Kluyveromyces lactis: one gene and its partner. The protein of the gene in region 1 interacts with the protein of each later gene in a pairwise test. Links are inferred from orthologs where the notes say so. Each region holds a gene or a part of one and is shown on either strand. Other genes may lie near its edges. The genes, in order: KLLA0_F20900g and RIM1.

Region 1 (16,098 bases):
AACAGTAGTTTCTTAAAATAAATACATCGAAAAGCCTTGAAACGGTCATGTGAAGAGTACAAAAAGATACAAGACAGTACGCAACTCAACGGCAGAGGGCCCAGGGGTCCCAGATGCAAGAATGTTTGTCGGGTGATAGTGTGGCGGATATATACGAAACTGTGGACCCTTTCTCCAAGGTTTATAGGCGTATATGATATAATTGATGCTATATATCAAGTGTTGGCTACAAGTGTATTCGCTACTTGCCGTCTATATACCACGACAGTGTTGGGAATTAAGTTCTGCCCTAAGGAATACAGAGAGCTCGATATGAAGGTTGATCATCTAAGTCCTCTGGTATTTTTCTAGTCCGTGGAGACTCTATGATGTCTAACCTTATGGAAGCTTGTCCATAGATGTAGTTTCTTTTCAACTTGTCAGTGATGTATTCACTGAAGCCGCAAGACCTATGGGCGATGGATTTCGCATTCACTAACAGGGTCTTTGCATTCTGTTGTAATAATTCGATGGTCTTAACAATATCCTCTTCCGGGTGCGATTGTCCCTGCAGCTGGTTCAATTCCGTTTGCTTTAGTAGACACCTGGAAAGCTCATTATCCGCTCTGTTGATCATGACATCGCATAAACTGAAAACGATTGGGCTTAACTCGTTGTCTTTGTTCTTGGTTTTACCACTAATAATGTTGGATTGTCTTTCGGCAAGTATCGTTTGTAATTTACCCAATGTCCTTGATAGATACGTTCGAATTTGCCAACTGTTCTCAGTGGAGAAAGTATTTATTGCCATATCTAAAAGCTCAACATTGCTCATCATCGAATCTTCATCAGTCGTTCCCAAGGTATCTAGAAACATGTGAAGATCTCCTTGATACAAAAGTTTCAGACTTTCAATTGACCTTTTCGCTATCACTAATTCCTGGACGTCAGATTGGCCTATTTTTAGAGTTACTACCATATCATCCAATTGGTTGATGAACTTTACCAACAATTCTTCCAAGTAGTTCTTCTGTGCAACATTGATTATCTTACCGGGAGCAGTATTCTCGGATTCAAGCTGATTTGCCATTATCTCATATACAAATTTGTAGCCTAGAGTAACAGTGTCAACGACAGTTTCCTTGTCAAAAGTTTCAGTAGATAGGGCCAACCCGTAATCCTCGTTCTCAGCACCTCTGGTCTTGATGCCAGTACCGGTGCGAAGATCTACTTGAGATTGTTCAGCTAAATTATCTGGTCGATAAGAACTAACATCGTCCTCCTCTTCCTGTTCGTTCAAATTTGCCATATCTACACTCTCCAATAGCTCATTCTCTAATCTCATGATGTGATGGAAATGCGAAATGAACCCTGTTACAATGTTGATTAGAGTCTCGCCTGGGATATTAGTCTGAGATTCCACATAGGTAGAATACGATATTAATAGGTTGAATAGCAAATCCCATCCAACTTCCTCTGGGAAACTCTCTACAACAGTTTCAAACCTTTTGATAATAGCGTCAATGGTCACCAGTAAGGTTTCTACGGAATCAATTCCATCTAAATTAACATATTGAAGCAGGTTGATATAACCATCGACGTTCACATAATCAGTATAGATTTTAAGCAACAGTCTAGTTTGGTTATAATGGATATTGTATGTGTCATCGTTATTAGGTTTCTCAGAAATCAAGGCTCTATCATAAGCTCGCATTGCCTCCAGATATCCCTTCATAGTCTTCTTTATATCGGAAAGAAACCAACGTTCTGCGCCATCTTCGATCTTTACTGCTTCGTTGTACCACTCGTCCTGCGTCACTAGAACTTTAGGCTCTGCGAACCCTTTCTTTCTTGATCTAAAATTCCCTACAGTTGATTATATCATTTGGCTAAATGTTAGTAAATAATGTATTGTTAAATTTTCGATAAACATTCAATTATCATACTTTTCCTTTCACCTATTGCCATTTCAATTCGGTGCTTTGGCTCTCTTGTGGTTGCTCGCAGCCGTTGGCGCTGTTTTATCTGGGAACCATCTCTATATTAATTCCATGTTGAGATATGATTTTTATGAGCGCATCCAATGAATTAAACGGTGCATTGAAGGTTGAAGAAAAACGTTAGAAACAACTTCAGTTAAAGAAAGGAAAAGGTAATGGAGTGCGAGCACCATGGAAAAGTACCCATATGAGTATATTCCTGGTCCTGAATGCTTGAACAAATACTATCAGCATGGATCAATTGTATCGAAGCCCGTGCACTTTATATCAATTCTCAGTAAAGTAGCATATACTAAAAACGATAAATGCCTGTTCCATTTCGATAACTTCACCAATGGTAAAGCTGGATTGAACACTTACTGTGGGAAGATAAAAAATAAAAGCTTTGAATGCGATGTATTACTCCGAATGGTTCTTTCTTCGTTATTCGAGAAGTTGGGCATGCAAATAGCCGGTTTGGACTATTCATCTGATTTCGTGTTAGAAGAATTAGAGAAGCGCTACATGGGAATGATAAGCGTGAAAGGGTTGTTTATCACTGCTTATGATAAAGCATCTCTACAGATTCATGAACTGAAACTTTTGGATTTAAAATCCTACTTTGACCAATCCACTGCAGATGAATATAAGCTACTCAAGCCTTCGATCGAAAAGCTGTTTAGAAACCTATTGAAAAGAGAAAAACGAAACGCTGATTTTCAATTCAAGAGCCTGACTAGTTACTGTACTGAAATGCAGTCGTACCTCGATTCTTTGGTTCTACAAGAAGCACCCCCCACCAGGTTACTTCCGAAAGAAAATACAGCTATCGTGAATCCGTTGTTCCAGTTGGGTTTACAAAGAGAGGTGAATAACGACAGTTTCAATGAATTTGATTCCCAAACCCAACAGCATAATATAGATACATTACCTCTTCAATCAATTAGTTCCAATCCTGATGGAGAAGCAGATCAAGTCGCGAAAGAATCCACTAAAACTGCCATCGAAAGTGATACGCCTCAATTCAGTTCTTTAGAACAGAATCCTTGCAATGATTCCATAATACAAAGCGCAAAAGAACAAAAGAGGCCAATAGGGAGCAACAAAGGTATGTCAACTTCTGATTTTATTTCAAGTGGGACTGTAAAAAAAATTAAACTTACAGATCTGGGCGCCTTGACCCATCATCGGCAAGTAACCAGGCAGGACCTGGATATTTCTTCATATCAATTACCATATGATCCTATTATCTCATCTCAGTCTCAGTTTGAGCAACCACGAACAATACAAGAAGAAGGGTCTGATCCGTTTGATTTAAAACCTGACTCGATCTCCAAAGCAATAACTGATAGGCTCTATCATATCTCTGATGGTAAAATTCTCGGATTTATACCGAATCAATATCTTGATCCTGAATCTTCGCTTATAGAAGATGATTTTCTTCTAATTTATGTTTATACATATGAACTACCTCTCCTTTCAGCAGTTTTTGTACCGGAGTACAATTGTTACGAGATAGCCATCACCAACGTTGCTAAATTTTTCAGTAAGATCGGGGTTCGTTCCTACCCACACTCAATAAAGAACTCGCTGCTTGAATTGAAGGAACTGATAGACAATAATCGATACGACATAACCATTTACAAGAAGGAATTTACTATTGGAGCAGCAAAATCAAGTAAATGGGCTCTCAAGGACGTGGTCCTCAGATCTGCTCTTCCTACTCCAAAGGAAGTCACCTTCACAGAGAACAAGTTTCCACTAGTACGTGTCTCCAACATTGTTCCTTCAGCGAGTTCGAGGTACTACACAGTTATTGGACTTGCGGTCACCGTGAAATATACAGGAGGTAAAACGCTAGTTCTGTCTTTTACAGATTTTACGGCTAACCCCAAAGTCAACTATGGGTACGATTCCTTTTTGGGTAGTTTCCAGGAAAGAATACCAGAGAATGAGCACGTTCATGCATTGATATATCTAAATCGGGTGGAATCATTAAACGAAAAACTCCAATCAATAATCAAGATGGGTTTAATGGAATGTGCAGATAAAGGCAACAGTAATATTACCCATCGAAGTATCATATTCAAATTCACTGTTAAATGTCAATTATTTCAAGGTAAGCTAAACACTGTTATACTTGACGCCGATCCCATTACTCCTACCACGCCAGTTACCACTGAGGAATACAAGTTATTGAAGCCTCTAAGAAATAAAATATTTAAACGGATGCCATCAGAGGTCATACAACTGTACACGTTAACCATGAGTCGCTTCTTGCCAATATCCAAGAATAGAATGTCTGAGAATCCGCAACTGCTACAGGAACAAGCTTTCTATGACTCTGCCGGTTCCTCAGAAGACCCAAAAGACGATTCAATTGCCAAGCTTGAGAACCAATTGAAGAGGGAAGGTGTTGACAAAATAGAAGAAGACGCTGCTACTCGTCCCATTGAGCTATTTGGTACCCGAAATCCTAAAACTGTTGACATTATTGATATTAAGAATAACGTGCAAATGGATCACAAAGACATCAAAGTTACTGCTAAAATTTTAAGTATTTTCGACAATGGTAACAATGTGACTATATACCTTACTCGTAGTGGCATGGTCGGTACTCAATGTACAATTGAAAACCCTTTCGAAGAACTTCTTAAGGTGCAAATCTGGGGGAGACAGAACTTGACACTTTTCTTCGGGAATCCAAATTATAGTTATAAGAGGGAAGAACTGACCGCCTGCATCGGTTCTATTGTGGACTTCACATTGATACCTAGAGTTCTGCGCGTCAATGAGTATTTATACATCAAAATATGGTGTCCTATTTATGCAACATTGGAGAGCTTACTGATTCACAGCAGATTGGAGTATGATAACGACACACTCAAATACGAAAACCTCTCCGATATTGATTAAGAACTAGGCGTATTTTGAAGTTGATTTCATTACATGAAGAAAGCTTGTCACCGTCATTATACTGGCGTCGCTAGCGGAGGTAGCATTTGTATAATTTTTTAATATAAAATAGAATACTCGTATAATTATGCGTAATAATTTAGAAAGTAACCAACTCACACATAATGCTGATAATCAGATAAGAAGGATACTTCATTTTTTAATATCACTTCTGAGTGCGTTTGACCAAATAACTCTCTATTAATCATAAGTGATGTAATTCAAGCTTTGGCCAACGAAATTCTCTAAGGAAACGTGCAACAAGAAAATCGTAACATATGCATGGCCATTTAGTGTCTTCTCGAAGCTGAGGGAATACGTTATAACACCTCTAAGATCGGGAAACCACAGAGTTGGATTCGAATGCCATAAATATACATGATTTCTAGCCGAAGGAACATTAGTGATTATATAATCATAAATCGCTAAGCAAGGATACGTTTTGTTATCCTTCGGAGATAATCATACAATTCAGAGTATTCAACGTCCAAATGCAAGAGGTCTGAGAAATAGAAATGGCGTTTTGAGCAAGGCAATTATTATCCAACGGAGAACAACTGACAGAATAATCAAAAAAAAGGCTTCAAGTGTCCATTTTGTTTCCTGTAACGAATGGGCACACTATTGAACTGTGAATATTGACTGCGGTTTCTAATTCTCGACAAGTCTCTCATCCAAATGCCTCCAGTTGCCACTCACTGTCTCGTGCAGGATATCTCTACTGAGTGTTTGCTATCACTGCCTTTCTCGACATGGATTATATAAGCCATTTGACACTTATTCTCCGGAGCAAACTTTGGAAAAAGGAAAATGCCGACAGTCGAAAAGAAAACAGAGAAGAAACTCAGTACCTAAATAATTAGGGGAGGTAAGCATTTGAAGAGAAACATCCTGCAGAAGAAACTTTATTGCTCTGAATGACCGCTCAAAGTAGGGCAAAAAGGGTTTCTAAAGGGTGTGTGGCAGTAGGCATTTATGTTTGCTCTTTTCGGCGTCTTGTTTTTGCTTCCGTTAAAGAATAAGGTATACAATTTAAATCTACCGATATTAATTTAAGGGGTTGACTTTGTTATAAAAAGACATCAAGATTAAAGAGTTGACCGTCCAAGTTGAGTTGTAACCTTTTACCTTTTGAGCTAATTTTGGATGAAAGGATTTTTTAATTCTGTTAATTGTTTTGGTGTGATTTTGTTTCTCTCAGTTTGTTCTTCTTCTCCATAATCAAAGCTAAAATAATAACCATATAATACTAATTTTTAATAATATCATGAAGTTCAAAGGGTTCGTTTCTTCGTTATCGTTGCTTTTCTTATTGGGTTCTGGTTTGTTGACGTTTTTTGTTATATTGTCTGGTGCTAGGACTACTGGTGTATTGGACAAATTCTATTGGTTTGAGGCTGACACCAGTGGGTTACCTGGTGCTCCAGATACTACAAGATGGTTCAATTACCATTGGTGTGCTTATGAGAATGGTGAAATCGGAAGTTGTTCAGGCAAACAAGCGGACTTACCATTTTCCCCTAGAGACAATTTTGGAAACAGTCCTGATCTTCCAGCATCATTTAGAGATAATCGTAATACCTACTATTATTTAAGTCGTGTTGGTTGGGCAATGTTGTTGATTGGTTTATTCTTCGTGGTACTCGCATTGATTCCTGTGTTGCTATCCTTTTTCAAGGTTGGTGTCGGTGCGGTATTGTCTACTGTTTCTATTTGGCTGGCTTTATTTTTCATCACATTGGCAGCCTGTTTGTACACAGCTTGTTACGTGAAAGGTCGTAACACTTTCCGTGATGCCGGTCGTTCAGCATCGATGAACACCAAGATGTTCGCATTTTTATGGACCTCAGTGTTCTTATTATTATTAAGTTCGTTCTGGTCAATAATTTTGAGTGTCACAATTGGTGTTCAGAAAGTCAAAGGAGCAAACACTTATCAACCGTATGAGGGTACTAGCTCTCATGATGATAGTTACAACGTCGACAAGCACACATATGAAAGCGGTGTCAATGACAACAACCGTCAAAATATCAAATGGTGGAAACTTCGCTACAAGAAGAAAGACACCGTTGCTGTTTAATTGTAGTCAAAAGTAGTCAAATCAAAATTAATTAAACATAACGACTCGAATCTCAATAAAAAAACGCCATTCACTAGAAAACAACATTTTTTCTCCCGTTTGATACCCATCTGAAACCAATACTAACACATATTAATAATTATTTCCAATTTTCTTTTAATTAGCGTCTACAACAACATTGTTAACAAGGTTAAAAATCTCGAAGGTCATGAAGAGGAATCCAACGATCCTTCCAGAAAGGATTACCAGTCTTCATCAGCTAATCAAGGGAACTTGAACAATTCTCACCAACAAACCACAACTACCTCTGGGACCCAAGCTTACCCTCATGATAATCACTGGCAAACATCTAGAAACCAAGCAGAGCCTGGAACCAACATTGGCCAAAACTACAATGAAAGTTTCCCAAGTGACAGTGATAAGAAAAATTACGGTCTGAGCTATCCATCTTATGGCAATGAAGGCACATTCGATGATCATCCACCTGGGGTCAAAGCACCATCTCATGCCAGAAACTTGAACGACTCGAATGGGCATCATGGGTCGGTACTTGGAGGTAATGAGCCCTTATCCTCGCACCATCCTGGCAGAAACGCTCAACAACAAGAATATGTTAATGTTGGTTCCTCGGATACGCCAGTTCATACCAACGATAGCAAGAGCTATGCAACTACTAAAAATATTGGCGAACCATTGAAATCGGGGAATGGCCAAGAGTTAGCCGGTTCTAGCAAATATGCCGCTAAAGATACCGAGAAGACAGACATTTATGACAGAGATACTCGCCCTCAAAGTGAAGACTCCGGGAAGCACAGAAGAAAGAGTTCTTTCAACAAACATGCTATAATGGCTACCTTAGGTCTAGGTGGAAAGTCCGACTCTGACAAATCTAAGAAGCAACAAGAGGAGTCAAATTCTCCAACTAAGCACACAGTCAATGATTCTGATTTGGGGAAAGAACACGTGTCCAAACACCAATCACAATCTCAAACTCATCGTGATAATGTTCAAGACAAGTATGATTACGGTAACTTCAAGGATAAGGAGGCCAAAGATGCTAGAACTAGGGTTGCGGCAGCTTCAGTACCTGCGAACACTCATTCAAGTGAATCGCAACAATCGACTGCCAAGCATACCCTAAAGTCTGCTACCTCTGAAACGCAGTACAATAGATCTGTCCCTCAAAAATCAATGCCTTCCAAGGGAATAAATGATGCGACAAGTGAACCATTGGTTGGTAATGACTATGCGTTGAAGCAAAGCTCCAATGCTGTAGCAACCGACACTGGAATTTCAAGGAATACTGGTAGTAACACGACTAAAGAGCAGAAGTTCTCTGCTATCGATGCTACTGATAGTCAAAACGATGGCTCTTACGGCGGGTCTTCCGGCCAACAAAATCAATTCCATAACACATCACAGTACGTTAATCCTAACCAATTTGACACCAATGTGTTCGAGAAGAAAAACGAAAAACCAATCACTGGCGATAGCTCTCATAAAAATGCTCAAAAACACACTTCCCAAGACATGCAGGGAACTTACGTTGACAACAATTACGTTTCTAGTAGGGCTTATGAAGGAACTTCTCATACCTTAGATCCTAACGTGAAGCACGACGGAAATGCTGCACATGATGAAAACACTGCTGACTCAGGTCTTTGGAGTTCTGTGATGGGTGCTGTCGGTTTGCGTAAAACTTCTTCGCAATCCCAAAAAACTGGTTCAGATCCTCAGAATGAGTATGGTTTGGAGCAGGACATGGGGAATACTCATATTTCTGATACCAGAGGAGGAGCATCCAACAAATCTAATAATGGTGAGATTAAAGGGACCGTGAAATCGAAAGGTATTCCAGCACTTGCTGAGAAGAATTCTATCCCGCCTACGATGGGTGCTGCTCTAACAGCAGAAGACCTTAAGAAAAAATCCGGTAATGTTGGTGACAGTCATGATAACCAGATTCCAGGCACTTTTTCCTCTGAATACGGTGGAAATTCGAAAAGCTTGGTAGATCCCGATAAGAACACTTACTCCACGGAGAATGCATACACATCCTCAGACAACAATAGACATACAAGAAATGTGTCAGTTGATGAACAAGGAAACACAGATCGTCCCACTTCCGAAGCAAAGTCGCATGGTTTATCGCAACATGAAGAAGGATATCAATACGATACCAAAAGTGGTGTTCCAAGATCTGTGCAACAAAAGGAGACTCACACCACTGACGAGAATGGAAACGTTGTCAACAAGATCTCAAACACTATCAAATCAACCTTACATTGAGATCTCCTCACTGGTAATGACGTAGAATGCGTTGCTATCTTTATGAATGAGCCTTAATAAAACACCTACTTTTTTACAATTTTTAATGCAGGAATTATTTCCCTCCAGCTTTTCTCCACAACAATTATCACTCTCTTTGGTCGTAATCACATCAGGTTCATCAGTTTTCAGTTCGGCGATTGATGCTGACTCTATAAGTTAGTTCTTACTAATTTGCGATAAAACTGCAACCTATCAGTATTCAGCATTAGCAATTAACTCATCCTGTACAGTCATTTTTTTGTCGACATATTTTATGTATAGCTTTCTCAATAATAATATGATATCACAGTTTTCTAATTCGTCATATCAAAAGTTCCAAGCCGTATTGAATAACGGAGAATACGCTATCTACACGTTCCTTTGATTTGATGTTTCATTTCTTTACAATGGAATATCACAATTTTTTATATTGTTTCATATAAAATGAACAAGAAATGAAAATACAACGTCAAGAAGCTACAAACAACAGGGAGGAGCACATTCTTGACATGAACAGCATATACCTATATTTCTAAACGGCGAGAAGAAGGTTACAATGGCAAAAAAAAGGACAAGTAAGATTAAAGCAGGAATCAAAGCTTCAATAGAGGTGAAAGAGGAGAACTTTAAGGAAAAGGCGACTTCAGCGGCTAAAAATAAAAAGTTGTCAAACTCCCCCAAAAAAGATAAACCAAAGACCATACTTCCAATCGAAACTAAAGTTGAAGCATCTGCCTCAGATGAAAACATAATTTGGCGAGAGCTACATTTCAACAAAGATATTTCGTCAAGGGAAACACTAGACTCGGCGTTTGTTTTCAAAGATGCAATTAAGTCTCCTCGAAGCAGTATTTGTGACATGCAGTTAAACGCAATGTTTGAGACACCAACAGAGCATAACGGTAGCGTAATGCATGCCAGTTTGACTAATAAGGGCGTAAGGAAAGATAGTCTTGTCTCTCCAATGTCACGGAGACCAAGCAGGATGTCAAGTTTTACATCTTATAGTAGCGTTGACAATGGATATCAAATTAATTACTCTCCAATAACGATACCGGAGTCTACAGCGGAAAGCAAGAAAGACAAGATTGGTCTCTTCGAAGTATGCGATAATCGTGCGAAAGTTGATGCAAAAATCTCCGAAGCTTTGAAATTCTGTCAGGATCTAACTAGTTCGAGGGAAATTGAAGCATGTAACACAAATGGCAGATGGAGTTACATACCACAATGCTGCTTAGATAAACCAGAAAAAAAAGACCACTACCCGAGAGAGAATCTAAAAGAGATTAGAGAATTGGCAGAAACACTGAGATGAAATAAAAAGAGCCTACACAACTCTTTTGTTCCTCTTCATTTGAACTTTCAACTAACTTCTTATTGACGGGGAGTTCTCTATAGCCGAAATTCATTCCATCCTTGACTGCGGTCCTGCTTCTCATTATTACGCCAATCCACTTCGTTATGGACGGGAATTCAATACCGCAGATCACGCGATGTAATCACACAATACGAATCATTACCCTACCTAAATCATCAAGGGTTCCAACGGCCACTGTGGCGAGAAACGAATTAGACTCTGCAGAACCCTCCCCCCGGTTTCATGTTTGAAACGGACTTTTTCACAATATGGCAACCGAACTTTCTTAGGCTGTGCAATGCGACTAAAAGGATTCCGTACTCGTACATCTTGAGAGAGCTTATAAGACAATGACTACAAAATTCGAGACGGCCAAGAGTCTTATTTCCGCAAAGAATCGAATCATCGGGACGCTTGTCTTGAATATATCTTTCGGTTCAGCCAAGCTTTCTAAGAATGTATTTACGGATGTAGTATAGCTACTTGTTCTCCTTCCTCCCCTCCATATTTTTGCCACGTATTGAAATGTTTGAAAATAATAACAGTCAAAAACGACAACCTTAAAGTATTGAAGTATACTATCACGTGTGAATCATCGTGGTGAGTGCTTTCCCCCATTTTTGTCTGTAATTATCACACTGACTAGTTACGCGTTCCACGAGTAAACCGACGTGCATGTGCTTCAACAGCGACACAATACAGACAATCTCATTAAAAAAGTAACTAAACTAAATTAATCAGTCGCTTTGGCATTCGTAGAGAATATAAGTCCCGCCCAAGAGAATCGTAGTTGGATAAAATATATAGTTTTGGTCAAACAGGTAGAAAGCGCAGCGACCAAAGGGATCGCGCAAAAAAGATTTTGGCAAGCACAGAGGAGAAACGACTGAGCTAAAGTGTTACTCACGAAGATCATTTTCTACTTTACCCGCATCTCTTCCCACTTTCATTATCTTAATGGTTATCAAAATACTTAATGAATTACCAGCATCGTGAGACAAATGAATTTAAAAAAAAATGATTGTCTAAAAAGTTGGAAAGGGAAAACGAGAAAAAGGAAAAAAAAAGGAAAAAAGAACGAAAGAACTTAGTGAAATCAACTTTCACACTTGCTGCTTACACAAACATAGCTGCAAACACCGGTCACCGTTGAAGCTCATCAGTTATTTGTTGTTTATATTTCCGTATACTTACTATCACCGACACGAGCAAACTCGAGCAGAGTGACAGAGACACCAATTCAGAGCATCGACTTACAGGGCACTAAAGTCGCTGAATTAGAGAAAAACAGGAAAAATAACAGCATTACGAAATAGCGTGTTCCGACAGAAAACTGTCTTTACAAGGATTTTTTGGCGACAGTGTAACAGGAAGAAACGAAAGGCCATTAATTGACCAAGATCAATCAATTCTAGAGGCCTAAGTCCAAAAAACTCATTGAGCGTAAGATTTCATTTCTGTTTTCTTTGTTATACCTATTTTATCATTTCGTTTCCTTTTCTTAAAATTCATCTTTGTTTTTTTTGGTTTTTGGAAACATACTATTTTCTTGGAAATAACCCATCTCGATCGATATCTTTTAAAGGAATTTTTTTTTTGATAAAAAAAAATTAATTACTTCCTAAAGAACAAAAGGGTTACATAAAACTTTCAAGAAACAAAAGAGAAGAGGGAAAAGAAGGAAAAAAGTCTCATTCTTCTTGTGAATCATAGGAGTACAGTCCTGTTTCAGAACATTATCAATTGTATTTTGTAACAGTGAGATAGGAGTTGCGTACTTCACTCGTTCACGTACCTGGAGAATAGCAGTTTATTCTTCTATTTTCTGCTTCCCATCCTTTTGTGATTGGTTAAAAAAACAGTGAACTCATCCACCAATATTCTAACCTTAGAGAAGAACTCCAGTCGATAGAGAGACACCACACAGTTCAACAATTATTCAGCATTTTGTCGAAAGCAAAACATTGTTTTCTTTGGTGATTATTCTGTTCTGCTATTTAATTGAGTTTCTTGAGCGTTTGACAAAAAGTGAATCTTCGCTCTTCATCTCATTTATCGTCTTTTTTTGGCATTAGTGTTACTTTAGTGCACATTTCCACACATTGATCATTCTTACGACGAGGCCATCATTCATATGCCAATAAGCAATATCAACTCAAATCCAAACTCCAATAACATCAACGAAAACCCCATGATGATCCATCCTTCCTTCGATACAACTTATCAGCTGCATCGTGGATTCAGTACTAGCTCTGAACAGTTATCAGCAGTTAATCCCAGCAACGCATCGCCAACACATGCAAATGGTTCGACAATACCTCGCCACCACTCGGACCACAGTGGTTCACCACTAAACCTCTCATCGGTACTGAACACATTATCCATTAACACTGGAAATCAACCACAAACCCCATCCATTGGTAGTTATCTATTGATATTGCGCAATATTCCTACCGACATAAACTTGAGGGAGGCTTATGCCCTTTTCTCATTGGCTCATGGTGTACTATCCATTGATGTGATACCTCATGAAGATAACCAACCGTACGTGGTGGCAAAATTTGAATCTCAGCATTTGGCATGCCAATATGCCTCTATTCTTAATATCAAATCCCAAATATTCGGTCCAGCATATCCATTCAAGGTGGCGGTGGAGGTCATCGACGAATTAACTAATCAACAGCTGTTTTTCCAGACAAACTCACCTCAGTTGCAGCCACAACTGAACACAAACTCATTTCAAATACCATCATCCGGAAGCGTATCCTCAAACGTTGCTCCAACGTTGACATCGCCTCCCCAATCATCAAGTCGGAAAAGGCCCAGTCTGCTAGGACAACGGTCTAGATTCTCATTTTCTGATCCCTTCAGCGCAGAAAATCCACATATTCCACCTGCACAAACGTCTGCTCAAACTCCACTGCAAAACATCGATGCTGGTAAATCATTCTTGTTAATGGAAGGAGATGGCATTAATGACACAATTTGGGGATCAAACCCTTCACTCTCTACTGTGAACAACATGGTAAATACCACGTACAATCAACAACAACAAAATGCAGTTGTAGATTGGTCTGCATCCAAGAATGGTGCTGCTAGAAAGCAAAGCAGTTCCGTTTTCTCTGGCCCTCAACAGGCCAATTCAAGTGCGACAAATTTACCGCCAAACTCTGATCCATCTTCACAGGTCGGTGTCGCCCAACAGATGAACGGTAGGTCCTCAGCTTCTGTGTCTTCTAAACCTGTAACACCAACTTCATCAACGTCGCATACTCCTCATAAATCTGGCAGCAGAACCAACATTAGTAATTCTTCATCTGCAACTAATGTTAACGCTAACAACTCTACTCAGTCACAACCTATCACCAGAAGTGTGGCAAGTGTTTTACAGAATACTCCTGGAATTTCTCAGGTGGACTTATCGTTGTTAGCAAGAGTTCCTCCTCCAGCCAATCCAGCCGATCAAAATCCACCTTGCAATACACTTTATGTGGGTAACCTACCTCCAGATGCCACCGAACAAGAACTACGACAACTATTTGGAGGTCAAAAAGGATTCAAGAGGTTATCATTCAGAAACAAGAACAACAATAACAGTGGGCATGGTCCTATGTGCTTTGTTGAGTTTGAAGACGTCGCACATGCTACAAGAGCTCTAGCCGAATTATATGGTAGTCAATTACCAAGACCAGTTGGCGCACACAACACCAAAGGTGGAATTAGATTGAGTTTCTCTAAAAACCCACTTGGTGTTCGTGGTCCAAACAGCAGAAGGAGTGGAAGCAGTGGTTCTGGCCAACCAACTAGCAACTCAAATAATGCTCAAAATGGTAAAACTATCAGCGGCAATCCAAGTTCAAGCAACAATAATAATGGAAGCACTGGTAGTAACAATAGTAGCATTGCCACTCTTGCAAATGGAGTCACTAATGATCTAAAGTCATCTACTACCAATTACTCCTACGAAAATGCATTCTCCAAATGAAAAATATTATAAAAAGATCATCTTCCCATTGCCTTTTTCTTACACTTCATATTTACGTCGTCATAACCCTTTTTTGCGTTGTTAAAATGACTTATGTTCGCACTTGAAGTCTTTATTGATCAATTATGTCTTGTTTCCAACTCTTTAATGTTATTTTGCAACCATTTTTCAATTCGGTTAAATCTCTTTTCCTATTATTTCCCCCAGTGCCTTTTCTCATCGTCGCTGAATGAATGTTGTTTCTTGATGTTTTTAATTGCCATCGGGAACATTATTTTGCATTTTTCGGTTTTCTTAGTTCTCTCCAGTTACACTAGCTATTTTTTATCTTGAAGCACTGGATGAACATAAATTTTTCACCAATCTTTTTTATCTCATAATACTATGTCATCTGAACAGATAAATTCCATTTATTGATAAGTGGCACGAAAATACCTTAACTCATTATTATATTATATATATATATATACCTGTAACAGTACGTATATTTTTCTGATTTTTACATCACCATCTTAAACTCATCAAATTTGGAAACAGGTAGCAGATCAATCTAGACGTGACCGTTTGCAATATACAAAATAATCAATATTGTTTAAATTACATATGAAATCGTTTCAGGAACCAAACACTTCGACTTACAAAAATGCCAAAGAAAGATATCAAGACTGAATTCATTCTTTTTTGCTGATTATCGAAGCTAAATCGTTATAGGTTTCCTCTTTCTTAATGTAAGCACCTCCAGAAGTTGAATTTTGTTTAGTTGTATTAGTCTGGATAGATTCTTGAGATTGACTATGTGAGTTTTGTCTTAGTAGCTTTTCCTTCATCTTCAATTCAATAGCCTTTCTTTCAAGTTCTTGAATTCTCTTTTGTAACTCTTTGGCAGATTGTGCCTCCAATTCTTCAAGCTTTTGTTTCCTTGCTACTATGCGCTCGTGCTGAAGCATGTATGGGATATTTTCGGAAATATTCCGTAACTTTGTTCTTTCTGGAGAAGTTTGAATATTGGCAGGAGTAGATTTCTGTGAACTGGCAGAGATTGAAGCGCGAGACTCATCTCCTTCATCTACCCCGGTTAGACGTGGTGTAGATGGGGTTTCAGATTGAGGTGGAATTGCAAGTGATTGTTGAGACTTAAACTTTCCTGTATTTATTAGAGAGGCGAAATTTGACAAGGATGGAGCTGTACTGTTTCTAGTCAACCCTTTCATCAACCCTGAAGAATTACCCTCATTGTTTTCGTCATTGATAGAAGTATCTATAACTTCGTTGTTTTCAATGTCCCAGGCTGGCACAGACGCCAATTTCTCAGCACGGTAGTTTTCATACAACAGATTTTGTGTCGTGTCCTTAAACTCTTGCAAATGGGACCCGAAGAGAACCCTTTTCAACAATTTCAAGTCCGAAATGTTTTCATTATCGATGTCAATTTTACCCCATGGATACTCACGAT
Region 2 (15,698 bases), on another chromosome or scaffold:
TCAATGCTGAACATTGACAATGTCAGAATACCCCAAGCAAAAGTGCAGAAACTCAACCAAATCCGAGGTTTGATTCTCAATAGAATCAAATTATGAGGGATCATACCTAACAAATATCCAACGGTGAAACACGTATTAGCGATATTGAACTGATTTGACTTGAACCCGAGATCCTCTTTCATACCGGAAACATAAGCATTGGTGAAACCGATTCTATCCACATAGTTGATCCAATATTGCAAGCAGACAAAAGAAAGAACGGTCAAATCGACCCGAAATAGCTTGCCCATGGCGTGATTACACTTTGATGTTATTCAGCTGTCCTTCTAGGACTCTTGGCGGTGTATACCAGTACCTATTTCTCTCTGAAGAGATGTCACAATCTGTTGACTCACCAACTTTAAGATGATCAAAAAACCGGAACGATATAGTACAATTTGATGACACTATTTATATACAAACAGATAATAAGTACGTATAAATACCATTCAACACTCAAACGACAGAATTCGAAGCTCTCGATCTGCAGAATCTTCAGGTTTCTTCAGAACCATCCAATAGATCGTTTATCTCTTGTTCTTGCTTGCTGTTACGAGGTTTTTTCACGTGATTGATCTTCTCAGTCAAATACTCATTGATATCGTCTTGTAATCCGGTCAATTGCATCCGCAGTTGCGAAAGCGTGGTATATTGATCGATTCCTGTCTTACTATTGACGTTATCAACCTTCTTTGGGTCACTAGGTTTATCGACGTCTTGATGCCCTTGTTTCAATACATAATCTGAAGCACCAGTAGTTCTTCCCTCCGTAGTCTGGTACCTGGGGTCAGAAGGATCGACTTCGAATTCATGAGTTGATTTGGGTCCGGTATATGTAGCGTGTGGTAAAGACATTGGTTGATCCTTGTGTTCGATACCCTTTTTTATCTTTTTAATACCTTGTTGATGAGATGAGATGATGATTTAACATTAGAAATCTTGACAATATGATAAATAAGAAATGCTATTCATCAGAACATGTCCTGTGACACAATGGGGGAAAAAAAAAGGCATACTAGTAGAAGTAAAGGCTGGGAGTGAGATTCGAGATGTCCTTGATAGAACTTATTAGATAAAAACAGTATTTATACGTAATTACTAAGAGACAGAGAGAGTATATAGAGGTAGTCAAAAAAATACTCCATGTGGAATAATACATTATTAGCAGCCGAGAGAAAACAACACGAATTGGTTAACAGATCACAGCATTCTTAAGCTTGTTGTTCTTCTTCAGTTTCAGGTGCCTTTGGGTTCTTCAACAAGTTGATATCCCTTTGAACCAAACTCAAACTTTGGCCCCTGGAACCATCTTCTCTTTCGAAAGTATAGTTAGAAGCATCAGCTTCGATGTAAACCAAAGCACCTTTCTTGACGTATTGTGTCATGAAATTGATGTGGTTAGTGTTGAAAACAGTGACATTGAACCAGTTTGTGTTGCTGTCCTTTCTTGGCTGAGAAGCAATGGAGTATTTCAAGTAACGAGTATCGTTAGCAGTAGTAAACTCTTGGTATTCGCTACCAATACGGCCGATAATGGACATCTTGGCAAAATCATTGGTGCGGGCAGTGGCCGAAAAGGCACGGCGTTGGGCTAATCTGAACATTGGGTGTTTAATTGTTTAATGATAATGATAATTTATCACTGGGCTGGGAAGTATAACTGTATTTTCACACGTATTCTTCTCATACTAATTCAGTCTTGATATTTGTTAAGGTAATTTATAAAACCGAATTATATCAAATGTCTTTATAAACAAAAATGTATATGAACGGAGAGTAAGAAATGGCACATTTACAATAAGAAAGAACATGCAGATGCGGGAAAAGAGAAACCGTGGCAATGTTTCGCATTGCAAATGGAGATTCTAGTTTCTCTTGTGACAAATTAGATATCAGAGGCGTATATTGTAATGTTTATGCTGTCATGAAACGAGTGCATTTGCTGGTATTTACGTTTATCGCGTCTTTACCAGTAAGAAACTCTTCGAGTTATCACCATTGTTATCCGGGTAATTGAAGCATGTGATAATCACGTGCCTTGTATTCTATTGTCATTACCCGGTTTTGAGTCAATGTTTCCAACATGAAATGCCCCTCGTTGGCTTTGTCTTTCCCCTGTCATCTCGTTCTTTTAAAGGCCTGGTATCTATGCCTGACTCAAATAACAAACTTGACTATCTTCGTTACAGATTGACTTGAGTGCGTTCATTCTAACCCGTGGTTTACTCTAGATATTCTGAGTACTGATATATAAACGAGTACGTTCACAGGAACAATCTCTGTGGGTCTATTACTGGTAAATTGTGGAGTGTGTGATAACGATATTATTTAACGCAGTTTAAGTTCAAGTACAAATTCAAATCAATAATATATAGACCAGAACCGGTCTTATAAAGGTTATTTGGTGGTTTAACAGGTTGAGAGCATTTCCAGATGTCATTTGGTGTTAGAAGGTTCAGCAAACGTGTGGTTCGCACCAGCGCCAGAAGTGATGATATATTATCCGAAGAAGCGTGGCTTGATTTAGATATTGGCGAGTACCATGTGGTGAATGACCCATTGGTATTGAGTTCTAGTAGCGACGACGATGAAATGGAACAGGAGGACCCCACTAGAAGGATCGAACGCTGGATGAGCACGAATGCAGTGGTACGAATGCAAACTCCCGATATTGCTTCTGTTGATGACGATTACTACCAAGATTATAGCTCTAATAGTTCGGATGCCGTTTGTCTAGTGGTGCCGTACCTTTCGGAGAAACTCTCTTGTTTGACGGAATACCAGTTGAGATGGGTTCACGATTTTGTCGCGGAAATGTTACCGCTGCTACCCAGGAAATCCGTGTCTCCTGTGTCATCTGTCTCGACATCTTCCTCATCGTCTGAGATCTCTTTTAAATCGTCCAGAAACGAAAAGTACAGATTGCCAAGGGTTATAGTCTGAGTAAAGATAACGCTTGACAATCACTGGGCCTTATAGTTCCCAGAAATAGTCATTACGTTTAACGGCAGGTCCGTTAATCTGGTTGGTGAATATCCGTATTCCACGTTAACCTGTGTCAACAGCTGTGATGCGGTAAAATCTATACGAACATGCGGTGGCCCAATTGCTTGAGATGTGACAACATCGGTTCGTTGTCCACCTTTATATCTCAAAATCAGAATCTGATCCTGTTCCAGCATGGGCAGATCCCATTGGATGGTACCATCCACTTGGTTATAAAATCCAGTAGGTTTAGATAAAATATCTTGGGCCTTGGTGCCTATCTTTATACAAACTTTCAATAGTGTATAATTGACAGGAATTAAAGGTCTTAAATTGATCATTGAGATGATCTCGGCCTCTTTGAACTGCCATACGGGTGTCACTAGAATCGGACATTGAACCTGTGGTAAATTTGTCACTGCATATTTCACTAATCCTGTAACCACGTTGTCCCATTCGCGTTCACGTTTCAATTTGTATATATTCTGAACCACATCCACTGGCTCCAGGAATGTGTCGTTAATCTTAACGGAACTAACATTATTGAATTTCATATACAAATCACTCGTTCTTTGATCCCACTTGGTACCATTGATGGCAACTTCGCCAACAAGTGATACGTTCGTTATATTATCGTCTGTGATAACACATGACAAAGTCTCTACTATATCACCATTAATCTCTGGTAATGGTGGTGACTCTGAATCTGGTCCTGATTCTCTCAATTTCAGTATATTCTCCCTCTCCTGTAACTGTAGCAGTAATTCCTTGGATCTGACAAGTTCCTGGGACACTTCAGAGAACAATTCACTATTACTATCGAATTTTGTCTCTTTGAGTTCTTCTAGCGATTGAATATAGCCCTGCACTATTTCTGCAAAAGCTAGAACATCAGACATTATAACAGAAAGACTTACTTTTTGAGACGTGCAAGGCAAACAATATAACCTATAACTATAATAGACAGCTTTAGAATAGTGAAAGTATCATGCAATGATGAACGGACGTAACATATATCTGTATCAAATGAAGATCTATTCGAGATATAACACCATTTGATCAAGAGATTGGAAAAAGCGGTACTTTCATTACCCGGACGTGGATATTGAAGCTTGTCAATTCCAAAAAAAAGTTTGGAAAGCTACCAAATGAGCTTATAACATGATTTCAATAAGGAATGTTCGAGGGGTGGATCCAGATCACCTGTTTGAACTAGCATCAAACAGCCAATTCTTCTGCTGTGTTACTCGATAAGTAGTATACTCGGATATCAGAGGCAATAAGAACCAAATACCACGGAAAAATAGCCCAAACTATGTTGAGACTAGGAATCAATCTACAGAACCGTCTTTTGGTTGGACTAAATGGACAATCTCTTTTGAAAAGAGCCGTTACACGCAATGCCGTTGCCATCAGAATGAATAGCACTAATGCTGGTAAGACAGCTTCTCATGAAATGACATGGCCAGAATTCTTCAAGCTACGTAAAAAAGAACGTGTTTTCAACACGGCTTCTTCGGTTGCGACAGCCATAGTATTCGTTAACGGTTCGTGGTTTTACTTCTCCACTTTGGAAATCGATCCAACTCAAACAATCTTTGGATTCGATCCACTAATGGCAATTACTGCTGGTATGATCACATGTGCTGCTGTTGGTTGGTTATTGGGACCAATTGTGGGTACTGCATTGTTTAAGGCCACTTCCGGTCCCAAATTATTACAGTTTCAAGAGAAGCAACTTTCATTTTTGGCCAAAATCCAAAAGAACAGAGTCAATCCTCAATCACAATCTTTCAGTAACCCTGTGCCGGATTACTACGGTGAAAAGATTAATTCGATACCACAGTACAGACAATGGCTAAGAGATTGTCATTCTTACAAAAGAAAGGCTAGTGAGTTCTTGTGAAGCGGAAAAATACCAGAAAAAGTATGATGACTATCACTCTCCCACCCAAGGAAACGCCTTTCCGTAAGTACAAGTAAATAGTAAATAATAAATAGTGGTTGATATCTAAAGAAACATTCGTTAAATCAGCATTAGCAATTGCGTAATGGTATATGCCAGAGAAACCGGAATGAAAAGGATCGATACCCAACAAAAAAAAGTATATTTGGATGCGGCGAGGTTCGAACTCGCGCCTGTTAACATTAACAGACCTGCATATTCCGGGTAACCGTGTCCGTCACTCGCAATCCACTTCTGCTCTACCCGCACCCAATAGCCGCCAAGCAATCAGTGAAGATTTTCTGGAGGACCCACAAATTTTTGATTTTCGGACCAGGCCCCTTACAACTCGCACAAAACTGCGTAGAAAACCTCTGTTTAAAGGTTTAAGGAAACGGCTATCGCAATTTTCTTGGCCCCCCCAAAGGTAAAGCAGAATGTGTCAATTGGAAAGCGACGGAGACGGTTTTGATGCCGCATTGAGTCCGCATGCTCATTTCTTGTCCCTGAAGCAGGCGCCTTAACCACTCGGCCACACACCCAGTTCTTATACTGTTAGTAGTTCAACTAAATTGGGAGTAGTTCTTCATTTCAATTTATTATATTCCAGCGCAGTGTAGCCCCTTTATTAACTGGGTTAACTGGGTTTCTTCGATAATCTACCGGTTGAATATGGGTCTATTTACCCCAGTTATATACCATAAAATGGCTCTCTGGAAGTTCTTCTTCAAGGTACCCGGCTGTTCTGTCTGTTCTTTTCATTGATGTCGCGGGTTTGATTGAGGAAAGGAACGCATAACGGATTTCCGTACAATGTGATCTTCATTTCTACTCACGTGACTTTGATTTCAATTTCTTGGAATTCGAAACTTCACTTCCGTTCGTTCTTTGCCAGGAATTCATTACCCTTTAACATGCCTACCTTATGCTTGAATACAATAGCCCAGTCATTCGATTCTTATTGCCGGCTTCTACCATCAAAAACACTAAACTTCTTTCACTCTTGATGGCTGTATGCTGTATATTAGAGGAGCTTTATGTTACTAAGAGGAGAGATTGCTGTTTAAAGACGCCGTACAAATTGCTCTTTTGATTACTTATTATCCATGATTGATACATTCCCACTGGAATCACTTCCAGACGAGCTTTTAGCTGAAGTCATTACTCATGTACCGCAGCGAGATAGATTGAACCTATGTTTGGTGAATAAACGGGTTTCAAAACTAGCACTGCCGATTTTGTATCGGAGAATTTATTTGAACGATTCGAATGTAGTAGAGAGTGATATAGTCAACCTCGCTATCAACTGGACATACTTGTACATGCCCCCAAACGAGGCAGAGTGCTGGTCTCGTGGGTTGGCTAATGCGAAACTTGATCTTCTTATACGCACTTTATCTAGGAACAGTGAAAGGTTGAATTCCATTCAATGGATACGGATTAATTGGGATTTGGATAAAGAGAAGCAGGCAGAAGTTTTAAGGTTGCTATGTACGTACTCTAAATCCATTATACGATTGGAAAACGTTACGGACCCGGATTGTAACGATATTATTGCAAATGGAATCCAATCGCGTCATAATGTCACCAGTTTCGATAGTGCCCCACCTAATTCCATGCCCGAGGGAGAAGTTTCCAGAACGTATTTGCCTAATTTAGCTCAATATTTAAAGCAACGGATTTCTTCTAACTTGTCACACATGACTCTTTTCATGGATCCCATCCAGTTGTTCAATTGCATATACCCATTGCAATTTAAATTGCAAATCCATGACTTGAAACTACATTGGAGGAAAGAATATTATCCGCCCGATCAATTGAAACCGCTGAACCAATACCCGAAGCTTACTAAACTTTCAGATGTCTTCGATGTGAGAACTTTAAAGGTGTTAACAATCATATCATGGAATGAGAATTTGAATAAACGAGAATTGGAAATTTTGACTGAATTTTACGAGTTTACAGAAATTCGGGATTTATCTCTTATATCTATGAGACAAAATCCAGCCATACTCATCGAACTTTTCAAACGTTTGAAGAATTTGAAAAGGTTGAAGACAGATTTTTTGCATGAGTTCACTCCACATCCTGTTTCAACGGATGTATTCCTGTCCATTTTATTAAATTGTAGAGAGCTACAATTCCTAGATTTGAGATTCGAAAATATCGACAGGCAGATCATTTCTATCGAGGGGTCAAGGTTCAAATTCTTACATAACTGCCATTGTGATGATTGTAATCATGTGTTTCAGGATATACTATACGGTAAATTTTTCAATTCGTCGAAAGATATGGTGATCAGAGATTTAAGCGATTTGATCGCTAAGGATATATTCACAATGATGAAATACCTCTCTTTATTACCTTATTCAAAAGCATTTGACATATACCCTTCTGTTAGGACACAACCAATGAATCTCTCGGACTTCGTCACCAAGATTAATGAATACAATAGGCACTATAAATCCATGCATAGAAACTCAACCCCGATTGAACCCATCACAGAATCTGACGTCATCAAGTGCTATCATGCAATGGTTCATCACAATAAAAAGACATATACAACTATACTCTCAAATTTGAAAAGATTACGATATTTGGTTTTGAACGACGTACCTTGTATCGTTCTCGAGAGAGAAGGTGCCCGTGTTCCTGTTCCAGTTTTCTTTAATAATGGTTACAAATCGAATATGGGAAATTGTTAAATATTGTACTTTTCTATACAAGGAACAAGAGGGAAAGTACCAAGCCCAAAAAAATTATGGAAGAATGCTGTCCATCTTGGGGAGTTCACCTACATCCATCCCATAAAAGAGGTCAAAATCTGTTGAGTCAAAGACTTGTTGCAAAAATTGAGTGACATCTATTGCATCTGCCTTGGCCGAATGCCTCTCTTCTAATTTTTCAAGAGCGTGCTGATAACTTGATGAGAAGAGATTTGGTTCGTAGTTTTTACACATCATTTCAACTTTCAAATTAACTACTTTTTCAGTGAAACTGAATCTGGCATTCCAGACTTTTATTACATCGTCGTCTGACATTTCTGCGTCTTTACTGGTTATACCCAATTTTTCTAGAACTTGATGATTCTCATGTTTTAGAATCGTCAACATATGATCTAATGAATCCTCTCTATTGATCAAATTTAAAGTTAGTTTATATTTGAACAATCTTTTGAATACATGATAATAGTATGGGAATTCATTAAAGTACGTTGTCAATATTTTATCCATTAACTGTAGGATTTTTTGTTTGCAGGGGTTACGAGCTCTTAGTATTATTGCTGGCAAGAGAACTAGGGCTTTATTCATTGATATCTCTATGATTCTACTGGAATAAGACACAGGCGCTAATGGTCTAATGAAATGCTCATTCCATAGAGTAATTAAATCTTCTAATGATGCGATAACGGCCGAGATCCCTTCGTTAATATGATTCAAGCGTCCATGGTTGATTTGTAACTTTGTCACAGCAACAATAACTTTCCATTCCCAGGTAACCATGGGGTTCTGCTCTTCAAAGTTTAACTTGTTTAATATTTCAATAGCGAGTTTATAATTCACGTGTGTAGGATCATCAACACAACATTTTAAGAATTTAAGAACTAAATGATCATTAGGGAGTTCTGGTACCCTCATTGTCCTTCCATTAAACGTGTCATTTCCATTCAACACTGCTAACTTCCTATCCCAATGTAAAGCGTTTATCCAGATATTTTTACACTCATCACTATCGACATTCGTCCATAATTGCCATGTAATTCCAAGTGATGCGCAATGGCCCATAATTAACCCCATTAATCCGTCGTTGGCATTCATACGATTGCCGTCGTTATCGTGGTAAGTACACCAGTTATGGAATCTCAAGACTAGCCATACCCTTAACTGGAGTAGAGTTGTCTTTTGGAACCATTTAGATTGTACTAACCATTTTTTAATAATATTAATATGGTCCTGAATCAACCTATTATGAGAATCGAATTCGAGGAGGAAAAAATTGATGATGAGGTACGTTAGCATTAAAAGAGTAGACTCGTGTACCTTGTCGTTCAATTTGCCCGGATGGTCTTTTTGGCGTTGAAAAAACTTTTCTAGTAGATCCTTCAACTCAATAAGATTGAATACAGGCACCAACGGATGAATCTTGTCAACGAAGTATGGATAATATTTGGACCAAAATTCGTATTCATACGGTACATATGTCTCCGGTATTGGGGCAGACCGCAATGCTGAGAACTCCCTAGCTATCTGATGGTATAGTTGATCTTCAGACTTTTCTGACCGGTTGTACATGGTTACGGTCTTTAACGAATTAGGAAGCTGCAAGACGGTGTCTCTTTCACTACGATCGATACCTTTACTGGCACTTTTCCGTAAAATATCAATGACAGCGTTTGTTATTCTTAAATATGGATCTCTGTCACATATAGCGATGTCTGAGAACAACCCATTGAACCACGAAGCTGATCTTTTGCTTAACAGATGTAGCCCTTTAGGAGCCATATTGATGAACTCCGGTAATCCAAGATCATCCATATATTCGTATCTTACTTTTTTAGAAGCATTCTCATCCGTATCCTCGGAGTAAACACACGTTTCTCCCAGCTTTAAACAGTTACTGCACGAGGGCTTTCCTCTATCACATTTCGTCTTACGACGCCTGCAATTCAAACATACAAGTGTAGGTCTATGTCTCTTCTTAACTGGTACCGGAGATAGCATTTCGTAAACCATAAGACGATTTGTGTGCAATTCACTCCCTGACTTTCGTTTTACTGCACTTGTAGTGTTTAGCGTCTGAAGGCGTGTCGGTTGATTCTGTATTACAAACGTTCAGACCGTTCCTGAAACAAAAAGTATTACCAGACCGGCGTGTATTCGATTTAATCGGCGTGTGAAAAGCAGTTTAGCAGTCTTCGCTACAATTGATATCCAATTCGAAGTTTACTTGTCCTTTCGGAGGCCATACACGAAATTGTTTCTTCATGAAAGAAGACCATTTGTGATTCCGGCAGTTTTATTTCGAGATTATACTTAATTAAGAATTTGACACCTAAAACGGATTGTCATTTAAGAAGTACTACATAATGATATTTACTGAAAATTATTCTTGCATGTTAAAGTACGTTAAGTGTACTACGTTATTCGAATCTCCCGACGCTTACATACTACCAATATCCATCTAATATACGATGACATTGATAATATTTCATTTGCTTCCTCTGTATTGAAAGTGGGCTTTGGATATCATTTCGTCATATTCGAAATTTTTCAATTTCGATGAAAAAACAAGATCCATGCATACTCGGAAACAGAGCGATGAGATGAGGTGAGATGATATGACTTAATATCACATCTAATCTGGTATATATATCTACAATTGTTGTTTCTAGCAGTTTTTCGTGATTTCTGTTTCTTTCATTTGGTACACAACCCTACGAGGAACTCCCGATGAGAATAACGCCTTGGAGATCGAGATCTGAGCTTGAACAGTTGAAGCAATGGTTGTTTGTAGATGATACTCCAGCATCGAAGAGAAGGGCCATACAACGAATTGACGCATACCTTACCAGGGGTCCATATCTCCCACATATAATAGAATATACGGTCCGTTTGATGCAATGCCAGTTGAACGACCCTGGCGAGGCGCAAGACGGCGATGATATGGAATATTTGAAATGGCAGTACTGCATGGTCTTGATTAGGTTTGTGAACGGTATGTTAGACCCAGTGCAACAGGCACAGTTTGCTATCCCATTACACACACTTGCTGAAAATATAGGGTTGCCCAGTTGGTTCGTTGAGTTACGTCATTTGAGTACACATGAAAGAGAACTGCCTAGTCTTGAGATGCTACGATTGTGTTGCAAGGAAGCGATACAATGGACGTGGGATAATTATTGGAATAATGATGAATGGGAAGAGGAAGATCAGGACTTTGATGAGGCTGAAGATGAGGATGCGACTGATGATAATGACGACTCAGAAGCCAAGAAAAGGAAATCACAGTCATCTGTTCAACTGAAATCCTTATTCACTCAGTATACTGGTCTCAAGAGATTATTGAAAGAGAATGAGTACCTATGGAAACGTCAAAGAATTGCTAGATCAACTTTTGGTGAGCAGGACTCAACCGAGGACGAAGAAGTTAGTGATTGGTTGACAGTTTTGAAAACTGCCTGGAAACAAATACACAAATCAGATTTCGTAGAGTATATGATCTTGCACTGCGACGAAACCTTGTTAGAGATATGTTTTCATTCCTTAGACACATTCCAAGTCAGGTGTATAGAGTGGCTAATAGAAAACTACGAGAAGAGGATCATGAATGAAGAGACGAAGATTACGGATCGGTTCTCAAATCATAAGAAGCTCTTGAAATTCGTAAATAAGTGTTGTTCCATGGTTAACGGCAGAAAGTTTTTGAGTAATGGATTGTTTAGTAATGTGGTAGATAAGTACCACAACTATCTCGTGTTACACATCTTAAAGAATTTGAGTAATGAAAGTGGATCTAGTGGTAATTACAGCGGTAGTAAGTCAAGAAAGAAGAAGAAAGCGAATGAGATAGACGCGAAAAAAGTTATTGAAGAATTTGAGGCAAAGGGGATCAGGAACGTTGAATTAGAGCTCTACAATTCAAGGAAAAGGACGTCTTCTGAAGAAATAGAGCCTGTTTCGGAAGATTCCCCGGCCTTGGATATATTGAAAGACTTGAATGAATTGAAAAATCAGTTCAAAAAGATCAAACAAAGCAATGCCCCCATCTCCAACTGGCAAGAAGTCACCGAGTGGACGCCTAGACCATTTGGCGTTTTGTAATTAGTATAATTAAGCCTTTTAGATACATAAGACAAAGCAAGAAAGATTGACAGTTCTACAGGTTCTGCGATGATAACAGGATTGAAAATGGAAATGGATAATAACATATAAAAAGATCAGACATCCTAGGAAGGTCTCAATAAAGAGCGGTCACTGAAGAGTACTAACGATGGGTTCGTAGGCGTACTCCTACCGTGGAAACTGCGAATGTAAAGGAACCAATTTTCATCATATAAAAAAATGTTAAAATCCATAACGCACAATCATGTTCTTAGCTAAAAAGAAGAAGTGAAACGTTTTGAAGAAATAAATGCAACAGAAGATACGACGATGGATCTTGTTTCACTGTTACTTTGACCTTAAGAAAACTAAAAAGAGAAAACTCAGATGATCTAAATTGTACATGTCAAAGCATGTACTGGCTTAAAAAGTCGTTGCCCCGTAAGACAACAACATGGTAGACTCCCATATCGTCATGGTCGATATCGGACTGGGAAAGAAGTGTAGACCGTTTTCATCATCGTTAAATGTTTTGAAGTTCTTTCGTAAGGTATGAAGTAATAATGAATCCCACGTATATGCAAACTTTTACGTTTATTTCTTCATGGAAAAGGTCTCTTTTCCAAGCGTAACATAGACGAATCAGTGTTTCACGGCTGTGAAACACTGCTCCATCAAGGATACTATAAAGCTCACTTGCCAACAGCAAGTGAGGCTAGAGAACAACCTACAGAACTTTTCAATACCTAACCTGGATAAATGGTTTGATGAGTTTAACATGTCTAGTTTGTTTCTCATTACCAGCCTTTTTATATTCTTCGTGTCGAAGAAGCATGGAAAAAATTTTTGGAATAATTGCGTCGTTCGACATGATAATACAGTAAACCAAGTACTTAGGGCATCGATGTCATACCATTCAACGGGAATCATAGTATTAGTGATCCAATAAATGTTGCTCGAAGGCTGTTCAAGTCGGACATACCATTTCTCGATGGTTTGTGATGAACTGGAACAGATTTCATGAATACGATAGTTTGTTCCACGTGTTAACCACGTGCATTTTCCCGGGTAACGTCTAAAAAGAAAGAAAAGTCTTTCCCAAGATGAAAAAATTCGGTTTAAGCTCATCTCATCTCATTGCAGATTCAAATAGACACACAGAGGCAGATAAGTGAGGTTCTGTGTGGTCCTAGGGTTCCAATTACAGTTTAACTAGTTCAGGTGAGTTTTTGTTACACCCTTCCCTGTAATATTATTCCACTCGCAAAACGTTATAAGAAATATCTCAAACAATGGCCAAGGTCGACAAAACTCTTTCAAAGGAATACATCAGTGATAGCGACAGCGATAATGATGGATCATCAGAAACTGTAACGGACGTTTTCGTTCCACCTGAAAACTATAAGAAATGTACACATTTGAAATCATTCGTGAAGCCTAAGAACTTGAAGCAAAAAGAACTTTGGCTTATCAAACTTCCTAAATCTTTAGATGTCTCTAAGCTTTCGAAATTACCTATTGATTTCACAGCGGAGTCGGAAACTGGCATCGAACAAAAAGGTAAACATTTCTCTGTGAAGGAGGAAATCCAACAAGAAAATTCCACTTCTGGTGCATCTTCTTCTTCTGAATTGACATTATTGACTCCTGTAGATAAGACAAAGTTGACCGTCGATTCATCTGCATCAAGATCATTTGATAAGATCTTTACCATAAGCGAAACTGCAAAGATTCCAAGCATTGATTATTCTAAGGTAAGAGTGGATAGAAAGGATGTGTTGAAGGTTAAGGGTCTCAAGACTAGACATTTCGCAACTGGGTATTACGAGGATAAAGATTTGAAGAAAGTTAGCAAAAAAAAGAGAAAGCACGACTAGAGCACTCGTTCTGGTCTTTCTGTATATTATTTATATATAACGCACTGGTCATATTTTAATTTGGGTTATATGTAGAATACGTTCATTATAAAAAGTAGGTATCTTCATACCCTATCGGAATAATCTCTCAATATACCAGCCATATGTGTATTGGTAACTTTACCCTTTCTTGATCTACGTTTCTTGACCTCTTTCCTTGTGGTTTGCTCATTCTTGATCGTAGCAGGATCCACACTAGCAGGCTTGAGACCCAAATCTTGTAGTTTTCTTGGTAATTCACTACGCTGAGGTAGCTTACAAGCTTCCCACATCGTAACGAACTCTTCATCGATTTGCCTTGATGGACCAGCATGGTTATACCAGACAAACCTTGGAGAATTATCCTTCTTTGTCCGAAGAACAAGGATTCTGTTCTTTGCTTCTAACTCGTCGATTGTATCAAAACATTGTGGCCAACCATCTTTTAACTCTTTACATGATATACCCTTGAACGTCGCCTGTGATCTTAATAGTTGTAGCAATTCCTCCGCAGAATGCACATCGTAAATGGATACGTACTGTAAAGTGTTCCTCTTTGGGTCAAACTTGAATTTTTGTAACCCCTTTAACATCGGAATCACATTATTATCCTTAGGTAACGAAAGATATGATTCGATTTGATCTACCGGTACTGCTTCCCCTCTTTCTTGGATATATTCTGTGGCTATAAGCATCTTCGTGGAAAGATGTGTACTATCCAACTGGCCCGTTGGAGCGACGCTACTACTCTTGGCCCTTTTCTTCAGAGGCATATCCTTCTCATCGGAATTTGGATCATCCACTTCTATCACTTCCGTAGATTTACCGTTCCCATTCGTTTGTCCATCTCTATCTTTATTAGCTAAAACTTTCCTTGTAGTGAGCGCTGGAGAAGTCTTCACCTTGTTCTTGAACGCATTTAAATTGGCCAGTAAATCGTTGCTCATATTACCCACACCTTCTGATACTGTTCAAACCACTTGTCGCCACACAGTTTTATATATCTTTAGTGAAAGTTAGTAATACGTTTGATTCATTGCAACCTTCTTTTATATTTCAAAGCTTCCAATTTTTCAAAAGCTTTTCATGCTTCAAACGTATAAAAAGGTTTTCGAAAAAAAATTTGACCTAAGAGAACAACTTCTCACTTTACGATAAGCTGACCGTTTAACTTTGTGTTATTCTGGTCGTTTTATTCTTTCATAATATACCAAGGGCGCTGTGGAACCTCGGATTGGTTTGAGTAGTCAAGATGTGATGGCTTTAGCTGGACTCGTTTCCTTCTAGTTTTTCACCATTGCATCTGGAAAATATAATTGAATTGACGTTCACTATTCTTCATACTGATTCTTCTGGTCTGCAGCGTCTATCATAATTGATTCTTTATGAAAGATAAAACATTTTAAGCCAACTTTAAAACCATCGCTGTTAGAGGTTTCTTCTGCGAATTCATTCGCGGTCAAGAGATCCATGAAATAGTGATGACCTGAGGAATGGCACATCTCTATTCAAATAGGAAAAAGTAGTCACGGCAATAGAAATCTTGTGAAGCGATATAATGTATGTTTATTGAGGTATCCGTATACCGATTAAACAAATGCTAATGAAATTTATATAAACTGGAAATGAAATGATACTAAATCAACCGTAGACTTAGTTGAGATTCTTCGGTGTAAGTCTTTCTCACCGAGCATAGGATCCTCCTGCAGGAATCATAGAAGAAATCGTCGAGTCCAGCGATATTGAGACAATCTTCCAACGTTTCTTCCATGTATTTGAGGAATTTATACTCATTAATATTGATGGAATGCTCTGATTCTTTATTGCAATGGCTTACTTTGTTCATGAAAGATGCTTTCACCATTTGAGAACAACATTTGGCAAGTTTTGGTTGTGCTGAGGAATATTCTGATAAAACTCTTACACTTGAACAGAAAGATCTCTGTAGTGGAGTGAGTTCAGTGCTTTCGTCTATTAGGTGTTCCGGAAGTTTGTAAGCACTGCGGAACAAGG

What was found.
Region 2: the proteins of KLLA0_F20900g (region 1) and RIM1 interact in a protein complementation assay, tested with the Saccharomyces cerevisiae proteins (2 studies listed by BioGRID). The link is inferred for Kluyveromyces lactis from reciprocal best matches to the Saccharomyces cerevisiae genes FMP45 and RIM1.

Annotation. Positions count from the first base shown.
Region 1 is NC_006042.1:1,940,563-1,956,660, reverse strand, and holds KLLA0_F20900g (SUR7/PalI family protein), read left to right. Parts: upstream 1-6,180; coding exon 6,181-6,993; downstream 6,994-16,098. Other genes in the region: KLLA0_F20944g (uncharacterized protein), read right to left, coding at 290-1,714; telomere-binding protein CDC13, read left to right, coding at 2,151-4,874; KLLA0_F20878g (uncharacterized protein), read left to right, coding at 7,840-9,282; KLLA0_F20856g (uncharacterized protein), read left to right, coding at 9,860-10,618; KLLA0_F20834g (uncharacterized protein), read left to right, coding at 12,795-14,645; septin SHS1, read right to left, coding at 15,317-16,098. UniProt on the Saccharomyces cerevisiae protein: Involved in sporulation and affects the sphingolipid composition of the plasma membrane.
Region 2 is NC_006037.1:551,372-567,069, reverse strand, and holds RIM1 (Rim1p), read right to left. Parts: upstream 1,644-15,698; coding exon 1,251-1,643; downstream 1-1,250. Other genes in the region: FEN2 (Fen2p), read right to left, coding at 1-290; chromatin DNA-binding EKC/KEOPS complex subunit GON7, read right to left, coding at 535-894; KLLA0_A06127g (uncharacterized protein), read left to right, coding at 2,473-2,982; SYP1 (Syp1p), read right to left, coding at 3,003-3,923; PAM17 (Pam17p), read left to right, coding at 4,340-4,930; SCF ubiquitin ligase complex subunit DAS1, read left to right, coding at 6,076-7,674; OAF3 (Oaf3p), read right to left, coding at 7,729-9,702; rRNA-processing protein LAS1, read left to right, coding at 10,420-11,790; DNA-directed RNA polymerase I subunit RPA34, read left to right, coding at 13,083-13,667; transcription factor TFIIE subunit TFA2, read right to left, coding at 13,772-14,632; and 1 more. UniProt on the Saccharomyces cerevisiae protein: This protein binds preferentially and cooperatively to single-stranded DNA (ssDNS). Involved in mitochondrial DNA replication. Stimulates PIF1 helicase activity.